2 linked regions of the Caenorhabditis elegans genome follow. The protein of the gene in region 2 interacts with the protein of the main gene of each other region in a biochemical or structural test. Each region holds a gene or a part of one and is shown on either strand. Other genes may lie near its edges.

Region 1 (5,900 bases), on a different chromosome or scaffold from region 2:
TCAAGTTTTTGTGCTATGGAATATAAAAATACTAATTAAGGTTTGCCTCATTACCAATTTGACCAATGTTATTGTTATTCAATTTTCCAGCGATTGTCCCTTGGTAGCTATAGATTGTCTAGAATATATTACGGTACTTGTTGTTTGACAAATTGAAAACTGATCTCTTCATAGTCAAGTTGTTCATCTTCTTTTTATATGCAATCCAATTCAGCCACAATCTTATCAAAGATATAATTTGAACCGTGACAAAAATTGGTGTGGTAAATTTCCAGATGTATGTTTTTAGAAAATTGATCGTTCTCTGAGCTGAGATCAAAATATAATGCTTTTAGCAATGTTCAATAATTTTTTTTTCACATCAGTTTCCAGGTATTGCTTTAGTTAGTAATCACTCGTGTCTCTTCAAAGAATAAAGTTAGAAATTTGGAGTTTTTGTGGCTTTTCAAACTGGTTGCTATGTTTAGAAAAACCTGTGGCGTTGGCAGGCAGTATGAACTTTTTTGATTTTCGATCTGATTGTCCTTTGTTCGTAATATTTTCTAACGTCACAACTTGTTCCATAAACACAAAAATTTATGAAAAAAATTGGGACCCATTTCATAGTTGCATCATCTTAGAATATTTTATTGCAAAATATCAGCTTCATCAGCAAAGAATGCGTGCTTCGCAAAGTTTAAGTTTTGCAACCCGTATGTTTAAATAAATCATTAACAAAAAACTTTTTGTTATTCCGCTGCATTTTCTCTGTGAATTTTAGTTCTTAAAATGTTGAATGTTTGTAGTTAAGTTCCAAATCTATAATATGCCTAATTTTAACCAAATTTCATAAATCGTTTTAATGATGTAATTGCAAATATTTTGATTTTTTCTAAACATAATGTGTTTTCAATGTATTTTTTTGAAAATCCATCTGTTTCAAAAGGCCACCGAATTTCATTCAAGTTTTTAAACAGCGTGCGCCATTTACAAATGTTGAGAAGTCTTATTGGGTATTTGATAATTTTTGCTTGCTTTAAGTGCCTTGTTGTCATCTATTTTCTTTCAAATAAAAAATTGAATATTCAAATTTTGTCAGATGAATAGTTTTAGCGGGTGTGTAACCAACACCCCCACATGGTTATTACGTGATTCGTTATTGTTTTGATTTTTCTTTGCGTCATTTTCGAGTACCCCTAAATTGTACTTTGTGACTTCCCTTTTGAATTTACTGCATGCATTATAAAATGTGAGGTTTGGTTGTTCTATGTGCAAGGGTTCAGAGAAAAGCGCATGCTGCTCATTAATACTTCATTCTGATGTGTGAATTCTTAAGGCTGCGGATTTTCTATATATGTAGTTTCGAGAAACCTCTCTTCAGCTTACGATTAAACTTGTTCTGAAGTTCGAATTTCATGTTAGCAAGTAGATTTTTATCTTCTTTTCTAGATTGAAAATTTAATTCGCAACTGTTTTTGGCATCATTGTAATAAAATGGCAAGAAGTACACTGCGAAACTAAATAGCGACAACCGATTCACCAGTTTTCAATTTATTCTCCCAAATCCCGAGTGTTCTGCATGCTCTTTCATTTACATTTAATGCTCTCGAGGTCCATATTAATGTTTCTACTCTGGTCGCAAAGCTAATAAGCTTTTATCCGTCAGTTATGCTCCCATGCGTATGCGTTTCGCTAGATTTTCATCTTTTGATCTCTACATCTTAACTGAGAAGTAGTCCCAGTGGTCAAAGTATATATGAATGAAACAGCATGCGTGTGGAAATTGTTATTCAATTCATCGTTGTAATTTCATCAACAAAGAAATTAACAAAAATTGTCTCTGTTACCGCTTTTTAATTTATTTATCAACCTTGGTAGGTCTCCACAATCCAGTTTTGTTCTTTTCTTTTTATCGTTTGTGTTTTATATCTTTTTGCAAAAGATATAGAGATAAATGCATGCTCGACAGTATAATTCTTATATTCAACGTTTCTGGACGACGTGGGAATTTTCCCATGCTACTGATGAAGTCTGAAGTGCATAGAAGAAATAGCACGAGTGACCTTTTGCTTTCTGGACATTATTGCATGCAAACTACTACTTTTTGCTTACTTCACACTATTTCGACACTACTATTATTGGTTTTCTCAATCATCAAATGTGTTTTCAAAGAATTTTGAAACATATCCAGATAGAAACTGTAAAAAGGTCTAATGCTCTTTAAGAACTGCCGTTTTAAAATGATCAAAGTTTACTTTTTGAAGTAAATTCTGAAAACGCCTCGCGATATCGTGTAATTTGATCGTTTGTTCATTATATTTTTTATTAAGAAAACTCCCCATCACCTCCTATTTCATCCTTCTCGGAGTTTTCTTAGAAGAAAAAGAAAATGGAAAAAGCGTGTGAATGTTTCTATTAGATGACAGGAGATCCATTTTTTACATCCTTCAATTTTTGCAACAAGATTCCACTTCAAAGAATGAAATGTTTCATTAATAAGTGCAGTTTCAAAAGATCAAAATAATACCAGCCGGTTAGTTGTTGCATTTGCTATTTTTACAAAACAAGAACACTAAGTATATATCGAAACGTGCAAGTACTTTTCATTGGTTTAATCCGGTGAGTGGGGCGTTTTCGTGTTTTGTTTAACTCATGACTCATAAAGGTTATTCAGGATAAACTATTCCTAATTACCTATAATAGATGTACATGTAAATGCTTTTCCATGTTTGGAGTTTATCGTGCTTGATCTAGAAAATAACAATTTTTTGAAATAACTCTGTCTGAGTTCCTAAAAAGTTTAATTTATACTTTCGGGAAAAATACGAAGTGGTTTACCTTTTATCATCAAAAATGTCCCAGTTTCTAATAAATGGATATCATCTCTTCTTTTCCCATTGTAAATTTTCCAGCTCACCGACATTTGCATAATGCAATTATGTCATACTGAGCGGTTATTGTTGTTTTATTATCTTATCGTGGATTCATTCTCTCCTTACTTGCTCACTTCATTTTTATAAATCTGTCTCGTTGCAGCTGCTCTATAAGATACAACAACGGGATATTCTTCTATCTCTTGCTCGTTGTGTTGCGTGTTCTGTTTGTTTCCTCATTGCTTCCTTAGAATGTTCATTCAATGGCTCATTAGATGTGTGCCAACCTTTAAGAAATGCCAGCTGATTGTGCATTCGTTCCGCTACACAACATGTACTTAGACATGTGTCGTCTATCTCTCCCTATCTTATAACATTTTCTTTATCTCCTTATCTCCTTCTGTTTAAAAGTCCAACTATCATTTGGAGTTTGGTGTCAAAACCAGCAGAAACAGATGATAGAAAAATATTTTGTTTCCGTGCCAATAGTCATTGATAGTTTAAAATATTTCTTTCCTGTGATATAGTTTTCCCTTTTCTGCGTTCTCTCGTTATTGTCTACACTCTCATTTAACTCATAGTCGATGTTTCAGATGGCTGATCGCAACTCTATTGGCGAAAATGCTGCCGCGCTTATTGGCAACACACCCATGGTGTACATCAATAAATTGACAAAAGGACTTCCAGGGACAGTTGGTTGGTTTATTCATTTGAATTAAACGAAATCTTAAAAAATGTTTTGAACAATACTGGTGAAACTTTGAATTTTTTTGTTTCTTTTATGCAATACCACTGTAACCGAGTTTTGTAACTTCTCAACAAAATATAACTTTGACAAATAGTCTCACTTAAAAGAAAGTACGAAAAATAGTAAAACCAGAACGTAGATAAAATTGAATTTTACAAATCAAAAATGTTTTGAATTTTCAAGAAGAAACAAAAGTCCAATTATCCTATTATAATTTTCAAGTTTACAGCTGTAAAAATCGAATACATGAATCCAGCGGGATCGGTCAAAGATCGTATTGGAGCGGCAATGCTTGCAGCGGCCGAAAAAGATGGAACGGTGCTTCATCAACAATACCATTGTTCAAAAAATTGCATTAAAATTTTTTAAGGTGATCCCGGGAGTGACCACGCTCATTGAGCCAACATCAGGAAACACTGGAATCGCATTGGCTTTTGTTGCTGCCGCCAAGGGGTATAGATGTATTGTCACAATGCCAGCATCTATGAGTGGAGAACGCGTGAGTATTGATCTTATGGATGCAAATCTTCACCCCAGGAATTGCCAGTACTGAAACCTTTTTTTTTAGCTATTGAGTACAGTTGTGTCATCTGTGATTTTAAACAAATCTCCGGGTTGAAAATTTTTTAACATATAAAATATATATCTTACAGAGAACTCTTCTCAAAGCATATGGATCCGAGGTGGTCTTGACAGACCCAGCGAAAGGAATGAAAGGAGCGATTGACATGGCTAACCAGCTGAAGGAAAACATTCCAGGGTCTATCATTCTTGCTCAATTTGACAACCCAAATAATCCACTTGTTCACTATCAAACAACTGGACCAGAAATTTGGAGACAAACCAAAGGGACAGTAGACGCTGTTGTTTTTGGGGTTGGAACTGGTGGAACAATTACCGGAGTTGGCAGATACTTGCAAGAGCAGAATCCAGGTGTCCGCGTGTTTGCTGTGGAGCCAGAAGAATCCGCTATACTCAGCGGCAGACCAGCCGGTCCACACAAAATTCAAGGCATTGGAGCAGGGTTTGCTCCAGCTGTTTTGGACACAAAGATCTATGAAGACGTAATTCGAATTCATTCCGATGAGGCTATTGTCATGGCTCAAAGACTTTCCTATGAAGAAGGTCTTCTTGGCGGTAGGTTGTGTGACTGTGTTTGCTTTGATAGTTTGAAAGAAGTATGTTTTTAAAATTCTATATTTTAGGAATTTCCTCCGGAGCTAATGTTGCAGCTGCACTTCAGTTGGCTGCTCGCCCAGAAATGGCTGGAAAGCTCATTGTGACTTGTTTGCCAAGCTGTGGAGAACGATACATGTAAGATGACTGACTTAAAATGTTACTTGTGATGTGAGCTAGTAGTTTGCATCTGATTCCTCGGATGTTGAGTATTTCTGATAGAAAGTTAAACAACTATTGAATCTTTAACGTAGTAATCATGTACAATTTACTGTGATTGATCTTAAAAACCATTTTTCCAGGACCTCTCCTTTGTACACCGACATCCGCGAAAGCGCTATGGCTCTGGCAGTCGAAAGCTTGGAGGCAAACTTGAAGAAGTTATGTCTTCACAACTATGATATTATGGAGTGATTTAAATCAAAAATTCATCTCACTTTTTTCTTTTTTCTTTCATTTAAATTCTTTCACCCAAAAATTATCAAGGTTGTTACTCACTAAAAATGATAAATCGGCTGGTAATTCAATCAAAAAACCTACACATTATAATAATTTGCATTCTTTCGTATTTTTTCCATGTAAATGTTCCGCTGTCTATTTTTTCAATAAATGCAATTAGTGTTTTGTACTGTGATCTAAGATAGCTTGTATGCTTTGAACCCGCAGACACTAAGATTGGTGTTGAACTGACGAAACTGGGAGGATAACCGACTTTTTTAAAAACAATTAAACCATTAGCACAGTGAGGCATGAAATAGGCTTGTCGATGTCTCATGAAAAGGTCAGTGCAGATAGAAACACTGACCCTAATAAGGAGGAATGAAACCTGGTTTGGCTAATCGCCAGAAAAATTCTTTCACCGATAGTGGTGGCCAACGAGACAAACGCTGCATGTGGTTTCAAGCGAGAAGTTCAATTTAATTAGTAGTATGGATATTTAACGCGATCTTTATCAAATCGGAAAACTATACCACGGAGGTCTGGTTTGATGGTTTCACTATGAAATTATTTGAGCGGAAAGTTCACAGTTTTCTAGCTGACTCCTTTGAACATGTTCAGTTGAATTGACATAAACTTAAATGGTTCACGTACCCATCTTTTTGGAAAAGAGTAATGGAAAAGTT
Region 2 (7,989 bases):
AAAACTGTCAATGAAGCCGTGGTATTCAATGGGAAGGAAAGAGAAAAAGAAGAAGATAGTGATGGTGACAGCGCGGCCGCCGTCGTTGAGGGGAAGACACTGATGATGTGCGCACGATTCATCGTGTTTTGCACGTTTGGTGAGGATGGACCGCCGCTGGTGTACTGTTTAGGAAGTGTGTTTATATGTGGAAGGCTTAGCAGACGGACTGAAGATGGCACGTACGAGAAAAATTGCGGACATGGGAAGCATGGAGGATCATAGACTAAAAATAAGATAACTGATAAGAGTGCAAACTGTAGATATTCAGAAGTAACGTAGGCTGTTGAGGGGAAAGGATAATTCATTTTAAGAATAATTTCAGTTGCTATTCATACTTTAATTGTAAAAAATCAGAAGTATAGGTCATGATAGAAAAATTAAAATGAAAAAATTTAGAGTTAGGACTGTTATTGAAAATATCTCAATTTTTTGTGCAAAACTTATGTTAGGCTAGAAAAGGAACATATTTTCAGTAATAGAACTAATTAAACTGACTACACAACTGGAAAACAAGAGTGAAACGAGTATGTATATTGTTTGTTTTTCTCTTCGATATTTGCACTTTTCGTTTTCAGTTATCTGGTTTTTCAGTTGGAAAAATAGTTAAAGCCGGCACAAAGTTAATGACTGAAAGACTCAAACTAAAACTGAATACATTACAAATAAAGAAGCCAGGAAAAGGAGATGAATTTACTGAAATGCTAAGAGAAACGAGCGGTGCAAGAGTATGCGTGCGTGATGGAGAGAAGCGGGTGAATTTCACAAAACGTGCCGAAATCGAGAATCGAAAATGGGAAAGTTTTGCACAGACAACGGGAGGTGGACGCTTAGAGACAACGAATGGAATAGTGCTGATAACAATAAATGCACACTGCTGATCTGCACGTCGTCTTTTAGAAAAGAGAAAGAGGAAAAGAGTGAAAACTACCGTATGTTTCTTTTTCAATTCCAGAAATTCTAATTTTCATTCCAATACATTCTCTCTTTTTCTGTTTATTTCAGTCGCTGCATTTCCATGCTTGTTTTGATGTGAATTTCCGGTTTCACGCTTTTTTCAGGTCTACGTGACATTCTCCTCATATTTTCTTATCGAGAGGAGAACGACATCCTTTTCCGAGACGATGCCGTTCATTCTTTTCCATTTGGATGGGAAAGTGGAGGAAGATTCTCATGAGGGTGAGATAGATCAAAAAGATATTCAGAGAATAAGTGAAAGAAGAGCTACGTGAACTTTGACACATTTGTTGGTATAACAGGAAAGAAGAAGCATTGCGACTCGAAGAAAATAATGAATGAGCTGCTTTTTTGCTTCCTCGTCCGGTGGATAACTGAACAATGAGCCGAAAAATAAAAGTAATGGGTTGAGAGGCATGATGAGCAGAAGTTAATGACAGAAGACGGTAGAAATTTTTTATAAGTTAATAATGAATCGTGCTGGGATCAACAGATGAAAATAGACATTTGAAAATGAATTCATATGTTCCACTACATTTTTTGTGTTTCCATTCTAAACGGAAGGACTTCTGAACGGAATGAAAAAGCATGATATTTTCTTAACTCAATAGTGCTCATCAGATTTTCTGAAGAGATAACAAAAATATCAAGTATGCTCACTATAAAACTTCCAGTCTTCATCAAAAGTGAATTTTTCTGTCACCTGACTCACTGTCTACTACTATCATCTCCGAACCCTTTGAACGCGTGATCCATCCCTGTCTACTCGTTCCTATCAACATCAAACAAATCGAGTTCACTTCCATTTTATAATTACTCAGAGAGCACAAAACCGACCAGCCAATTTATTTTGTTGCTGTGTGGCTCTGTTTCTAACCGCTTGGTTTAACTGCCATTTTGTGCAGCATTGCCGTCCGCTCCACACACACACACGCTTCTCACAAATCACGTAAAATTCGGGAGGGCTCGCAGAATCCGCACGTTGGCATGAGCCTAGATACACATATTCACATCAAATAGTTGGTATTTTCACCAATGAAACTAACATGGAAATACGGAAATAAAAAGGTTTTGGCCTTTCGATGAGACTTTAGATGATTACGTTTACTAACCTGAATATCCGGATCATCAGTTTGAATTATCTTTTCTTTTCCAACAGTTATTGTCTCGCTTTTGCCTGAACTTGTAGCTGAACTTGTCGTTGTCGCTGGAGGTGGAATAGTTGCTGTGGAAGCAGTTGACGGTACCGAAGTTGTGACAAGAGCCAACGAAGCTGGTGAATCTCCAGCAAGACTCAAAACTTGAGCTTAAAGATCTTTTATATCAAAAAACTGTTAAATTGGTAGCTTACCGAGTCTACTGATATCACTTTGAGCAGTACTACTTGTTGGGAACATTGCAAGGGAAGCTGATGACATGTGTTCAAGTGATGCTTCATGTGATGTGCACATGGAAGACATTGATTCAGAAGAAATTGAATTAAACACATGCGTATTTCTGTATGGTTTGAATGCACTTCCTTCACTACTGAACGGTACTGTACTTGTTGATGATATCCTTTGTGGAATTTGGATTGGAATCGATGGCTCTGGTTCGGTCTTCGATGTGATCGAAAATGTTGGCGGAAAATTTGAAATAGTTTGATTCAGAATTGGATTATTTTGAAGAGATAGAAGAAGTGACGTGGTAAGTGCAGGATCATCAAACGAAACAGTAGGTGGAATTGGAGCCATAACAGCAGGTGCTGCCTGAGGCATCAAATTACTTGGCACCATGCCACTTGTTTGAAGTGACTTGCATATCATTTTATGTGTTAGCCAATCGAGTTGCTGGAAATTAGATATTGATTCTGAGTTTCGTATTGGAAAAACTAAAAGTTGTAGAACTATTTGAAATACTGAACAAGAATAATACCCTCTACTTCCTCATTTTGTTTTTGCATGTGTTTTTAGCAAATTGTATTCAAAATTTTGATCTCATCTATGGCAAATAAATTAAAAAATTGCAAGCGTCTAAAAATTGAAATCCATAAGTCGCTTTAAAAAAATTGTCTACGTGACACTTGTGATGTTTCAATTTGTGAAAAGTGCACGGGCGTGGCTTGATTTGGGTTATGTCTAATGAGAGAAAGGTGTGATGTTTAGTAAGAAAAATAAGTTGTTGAGCATAAATCAGAATATTTATGAAACGACGTGGGAAACTAAACAAATTTTTTATTTGCATGTTGTTGATGGACGTGTCTAGAAAAGTAATAAGATCAAAAAGTTGACAATGGGAACACAAAAGAGGAAAAGTTTTAGAAATACGAATGAATCATATTGTGATTTTTGTTGCACTCAAATAAGGAAGTAAAATATTTTGAAGCAACATATTCTCGTCTAATAGTATACTATGGCCACAACATATACCTCTAAGAATTGTTTCCGTCTTTTGTTAAAGTTTGATATTTCCCAACTTTTATGCTGAATAATTTAGGAAGTTTAAATGTAGAGGGTCACTATGATTATATTATTAGTGGTTCTTATTGAAAATTATATTTTTTAACGAAACAAGTTTCAGAACTTTTTCAATACTTTTAATAACTAGACTATTGTTCTTGAGAACGTCACAACTTTTTCTGGGTTATCTACAATCCTCCGTCCAAATTCCGTCGATAAAATCTAAAATCGCTGCCACAGCTTTTTTCTCGAAATTAAAATTTCTTCCTATTGTCATCATCTATTTCCCCTATTTCATTTTGATGTTTTTGCAGTAAACACAGACATTGGTCTACAAATGTTTCTGTCTTTCTTGTCTGCGCACATATGCTTCAAAAAGCTCTTTCTCGGGAGGAGGGCAGCCAGCCGAAATGTTCGAATCGACACGTTCTTGCGCGATATGCAGGTTCAGGTTATTTTCCGAAAAATTCAACAAAAATAAGACAACTATAATTGGAAGTAGTTGTCAGAAACAAAGTATAATTTTAAACAGGAACTAGATTTGATTCCCATAAATAGCCAGTTCAAAAATTCGAAAAGAAGGGAGGAATTAGAGTCAAAAACAGATTTAGGGTAGATGCATCGTGAGAAGGGACGGATTACGTGAGAACACTTGTTTATCTAATCAGCAGGACCCCCATTATTTTGTTGATCAACGAATACACCCTACGGTACCAACCTGGTGCTCCTTGGAACAATAAGCCACTGTTCCACAGAATAAACATGTTTGCAATTGGGAAGATGTGCACGAGCTTCCACAATATGTACACTGTAAAACAGCTGTAGAAGAAGATGGTTGACTGAGCATCTGAATAATTATTCATTATTAATGTGACCCAAATATGTAATTCTGAAAAGTTATGCTTTTTTGAAAAATGTACGATTTCAGTGATTTTTAACTCTAATGCGAATAGGGGTTCCATACTACAAACAAAACTTCAAAATTGCTAGACTTAATAAACTAGTCCCATTGATGCAGTGTTCACCACATACAGAAGTACAGTATCCTTTTTACAGATTTTTTGAATAGTGAATTTCAGAAAACAGAGTAATAACTGTTTAAAAATCACTTAGGTAATTCATTTTAGGTGTTCAATTTTCAAAGGTTGGTAATAAGAGTTTAAATTTTCTAACTAAAGTAGTTTAACATACCAGCGTTGTAAAAAGTGAAGCGGTAGAAGGTGTTCCCTTGTCGATCTCACAGTCATCATTTGGGGCACTGCTCATGTCATGTGCTGCAACTTTTTTCTGTCACATTCAGTATCTGGCAGTGATCAGAAAATAACCGAAAAATATGTGAACGTGATAAAATGAACGACGTGGCACCGAAACTGATTGTTTGCGTGTCTTGTGTGCTCATCTCTCTCTCTCTCTCGTGCTTTTTTCTCTCTCTCTTTGCATTTCTCTTATCATTAAAAAAAATGTCCATCTTAGCGTTGATGATTTGCACGACGACATTTTGCCGTTTATCACACGAAGAAGTTAAGAAAAAAAAATTGAAAACGAAAAAAACTGTTCTCAGTACTAGATGAACGGTGAAAGAAATGTGTGGTGGTTGTGATTGGACGGATCAAAGAGACACGATGACAAAGAAAATCGAACAAATTTGATCAAGAAAACAATATAGATTAGAAGTAAAACAGAAATCACAAGGGATTATCCTGGTATATTGTCTAAATAGTAATAACAAAATATGGTTTCATTGATTCAAAAAGTTATCTGTCAATTGATGCCGTTAACCTTCAAATGAAATTTGATTTCAACGTTTAAAAGACGTGTTATTCAGGTTAAAAATTGTTTGATATAAAAGGAATGTGTAGTATGGACTACTCTTCAATAGTTTCCGGAAACACTTATAATTAAAGTGCACTCTTAATCGGCCTTTGAAAAAAAAATGAAATGAGAACGTTCGAAAGAAAAGTTCAGAAATATAAAAAATTAAACTAATTCAAGTAACACAAAAGAAACGGTTTCAAAACGGAAGTTACAGACTATTTCTTTGCAATTTTTAAAAATAATTTTAGGATTTCTCGGTGGAAATCACTTCGACCTTCATCATTGATACGGTAAATCAAGAACGATTTTCTTAAAAGTTATTAAACTGAACAAATTTACGATACATTGTACTCTATACACCAGATGGCATGAACATAGAAACACATTTTTTGGGAATAACGAGACAAAGCTTTGAAATAAGGAATATCTGTATTTTTTCTTCAAAACTTGAATTAATATGTACATTTCAGCAAAGAAAAAACAAAGAGAAATCTTATGACCAATCAAGTGAACACCAATGAGATGCTAAACAAGTTTGACTGAACTTCATCACATGGTAATAACTTTTTATTCATCAATTTTAAAATTTTTATGTTCTAAAATGTTGTGCAGGGTGTTTGGTGTCAAAACAAGGTTGCATCAATCCAGAGAAAAAGAGATGGAACATATTACGTCACGCACTTTTTTACATTCCCACACCTTACGAAAGAGGGCAGAAATTGAAACGAAGAGAAATGAGAAGAAGATATGGAAGGAACAAGAGTTTTGAGAGAGGAATGTGAGACAGATGGGTGCACTCTTTTGCGACATGTTTCTTGCCTATTCCAAAGATCACTCTTTTATATTTGAATAGATAAAAGAGTAGATCTTCGGAAAAGTTTTAGGAAATTTAAGTGTAATCAGGTACAGTAGTCATAAGAAGATCGAATAATTGTTTGATAGTTAAAAAAAAGAACTTTGATATAATAATTGAAAAGTCCGTGATGCTTTACCCAGTTAATTGGAAGAGCATAACAAAAAATGCAATGCGCGGAAAATGACGAAGCGGGAGATCTTTCCTCTTCATTTTCTCTCTCTTTTTCTTCTCATTCTCTCTTTCACACACATACACGCATATAGGAGGAAATCGAGAGATAGAGAGAGACACCAAAACTGTCTACGTGCGCAAATGAAAAATTGGTAAGACAGTTAGAGACACAGACATAATGGTAGATGAGAGCACGGAGACGCAGATTGTGTTGGAACGTGAAAAGCGCACGCTCACATGCACGCGCACTCTGCTTCTCCACCAATCTCTTTACTATCTCAATGTGGTACAAGGTGTGAGGAGATTCGGAAAGGAATGGTCTTTGAGGTCTTTCGTGGGTGATGCAAATTTTTTTTAATCTTTAGCATAACTTGTTGCACATTATGCTGATTTTTCAAGAATTAAGTATAACCTGAAAACTGAGGACTGTTATTAAGAATAAAATGAAGGCATTACTAATTGTCAGTTATCAAGTATTTTTCTGAGGAAAACGTTTGTTCGCTGCATAGAGAAAACATGAATCTTTGAGATAGAACTTGGAAAAACAGTGCAATTTTCTTTTTTTCATGGCCTATAGAATTACTCCAGGTACTGTTTTAGCACACTTTTGGTGTTTTTAGTATGCTCATGTGTAGATAAATGTTGTGGTAGTTTTTGAAAAATTTAAATGTTGAAAAAAAATCACATTAGTGGGTTTTGAAAAATGTCACATTTTTTACAAATATTTAAATTTTTCCCAACATTTTGATTGAGTGATATAATACTTCTAATTAGAATTCTAAATGAAATGGCACGCAACGTTTTGTATTCTGCAAGTAAAATGGAACGTTTTTCTTTTGTAAGAAATTTTGAGAAAAAAAACCAAAATCCCTAAATGAAACCGTAAAACATTAATTAGATTATTATTAAGAATTCAACTGCTAGCAGATTTTTGAATTAAAAAATTGACAAACAAAATGATCTTGAATCGTTGTAATTATTTAATAGATCAGTCTCACTCAGACCTCGCAATTGTCATTACAACACAATAGAATTTGAAATTTAGTCGATAAACATTGATCATTCAAAGTTTAGGTCGGATAAATCGTCATTTAAAAAACGGAAAAAATCTCACAAAACAAATCACAACATTTTCAGACGCTCTTTCAAAATATGCAAAATCTTAAACTTCAAAGACATTACCATATTGTGAAAAAACATCTGTCAGTATATCGTGAAATGTTTTCTTGGTACGTAAAATTAGGAGTTGAAATTAGCTCGTAATAATGTGGCTCTACTTGGAAAGAGTGTTGAAGGTGTCATATGAATTATGACGCACAATGAAATTATTAATTTTAATGAAAGCATGGTGTTTGAACACTTGTCATCAACTATAATGTACCCCCTTCATTTTAGAATGAAGTATAGAATTTTATGAATGTCAAGTAAAGAAACATAAGTAACTCTATTTATTGTTGAATCGACAAATGAGATATAATACGGTTGAAACATAGATTTGAGATTTGGAAACTCATTTTGAGACAAATTATAGTTTCAAGAAGGATACACAACTAAAAATGATTCACTGGAGCAAACATATTCACACGTGTTCAACAAGGATAGAGCTAACAAACCCACGAGTTGCTCAGAAATAAAACTACGTCACTTTCTGAAAGTTTAGGAGCGTCAAAAATAATCTGAAACATTTTCCTAAAGTTTCTGAGCTATAAAACA

The links.
Region 1: of the proteins of egl-9 (region 2) and cysl-1, one has a biochemical effect on the other in vitro, tested with the Caenorhabditis elegans proteins (2 studies listed by BioGRID, with this or other methods).

The regions. Positions count from the first base shown.
Region 1 is NC_003284.9:9,952,079-9,957,978, reverse strand, and holds cysl-1 (Cysteine synthase 1), read left to right. Parts: upstream 1-3,445; coding exon 3,446-3,548; intron 3,549-3,829; coding exon 3,830-3,918; intron 3,919-3,970; coding exon 3,971-4,099; intron 4,100-4,253; coding exon 4,254-4,737; intron 4,738-4,805; coding exon 4,806-4,914; intron 4,915-5,078; coding exon 5,079-5,190; 3' UTR 5,191-5,400; downstream 5,401-5,900.
Region 2 is NC_003283.11:10,465,236-10,473,224, reverse strand, and holds the start of egl-9 (Hypoxia-inducible factor prolyl hydroxylase), read right to left. Parts: upstream 4,709-7,989; 5' UTR 4,701-4,708; coding exon 4,626-4,700; intron 4,282-4,625; coding exon 4,153-4,281; intron 2,826-4,152; coding exon 2,348-2,825; intron 2,303-2,347; coding exon 2,109-2,302; intron 1,993-2,108; exon of another isoform or gene 1,931-1,992; intron 1-1,930. UniProt on the Caenorhabditis elegans protein: Cellular oxygen sensor which regulates the stability and the activity of hypoxia-inducible transcription factor, hif-1. In normoxic conditions, hydroxylates hif-1 targeting it for vhl-1-mediated proteasomal degradation.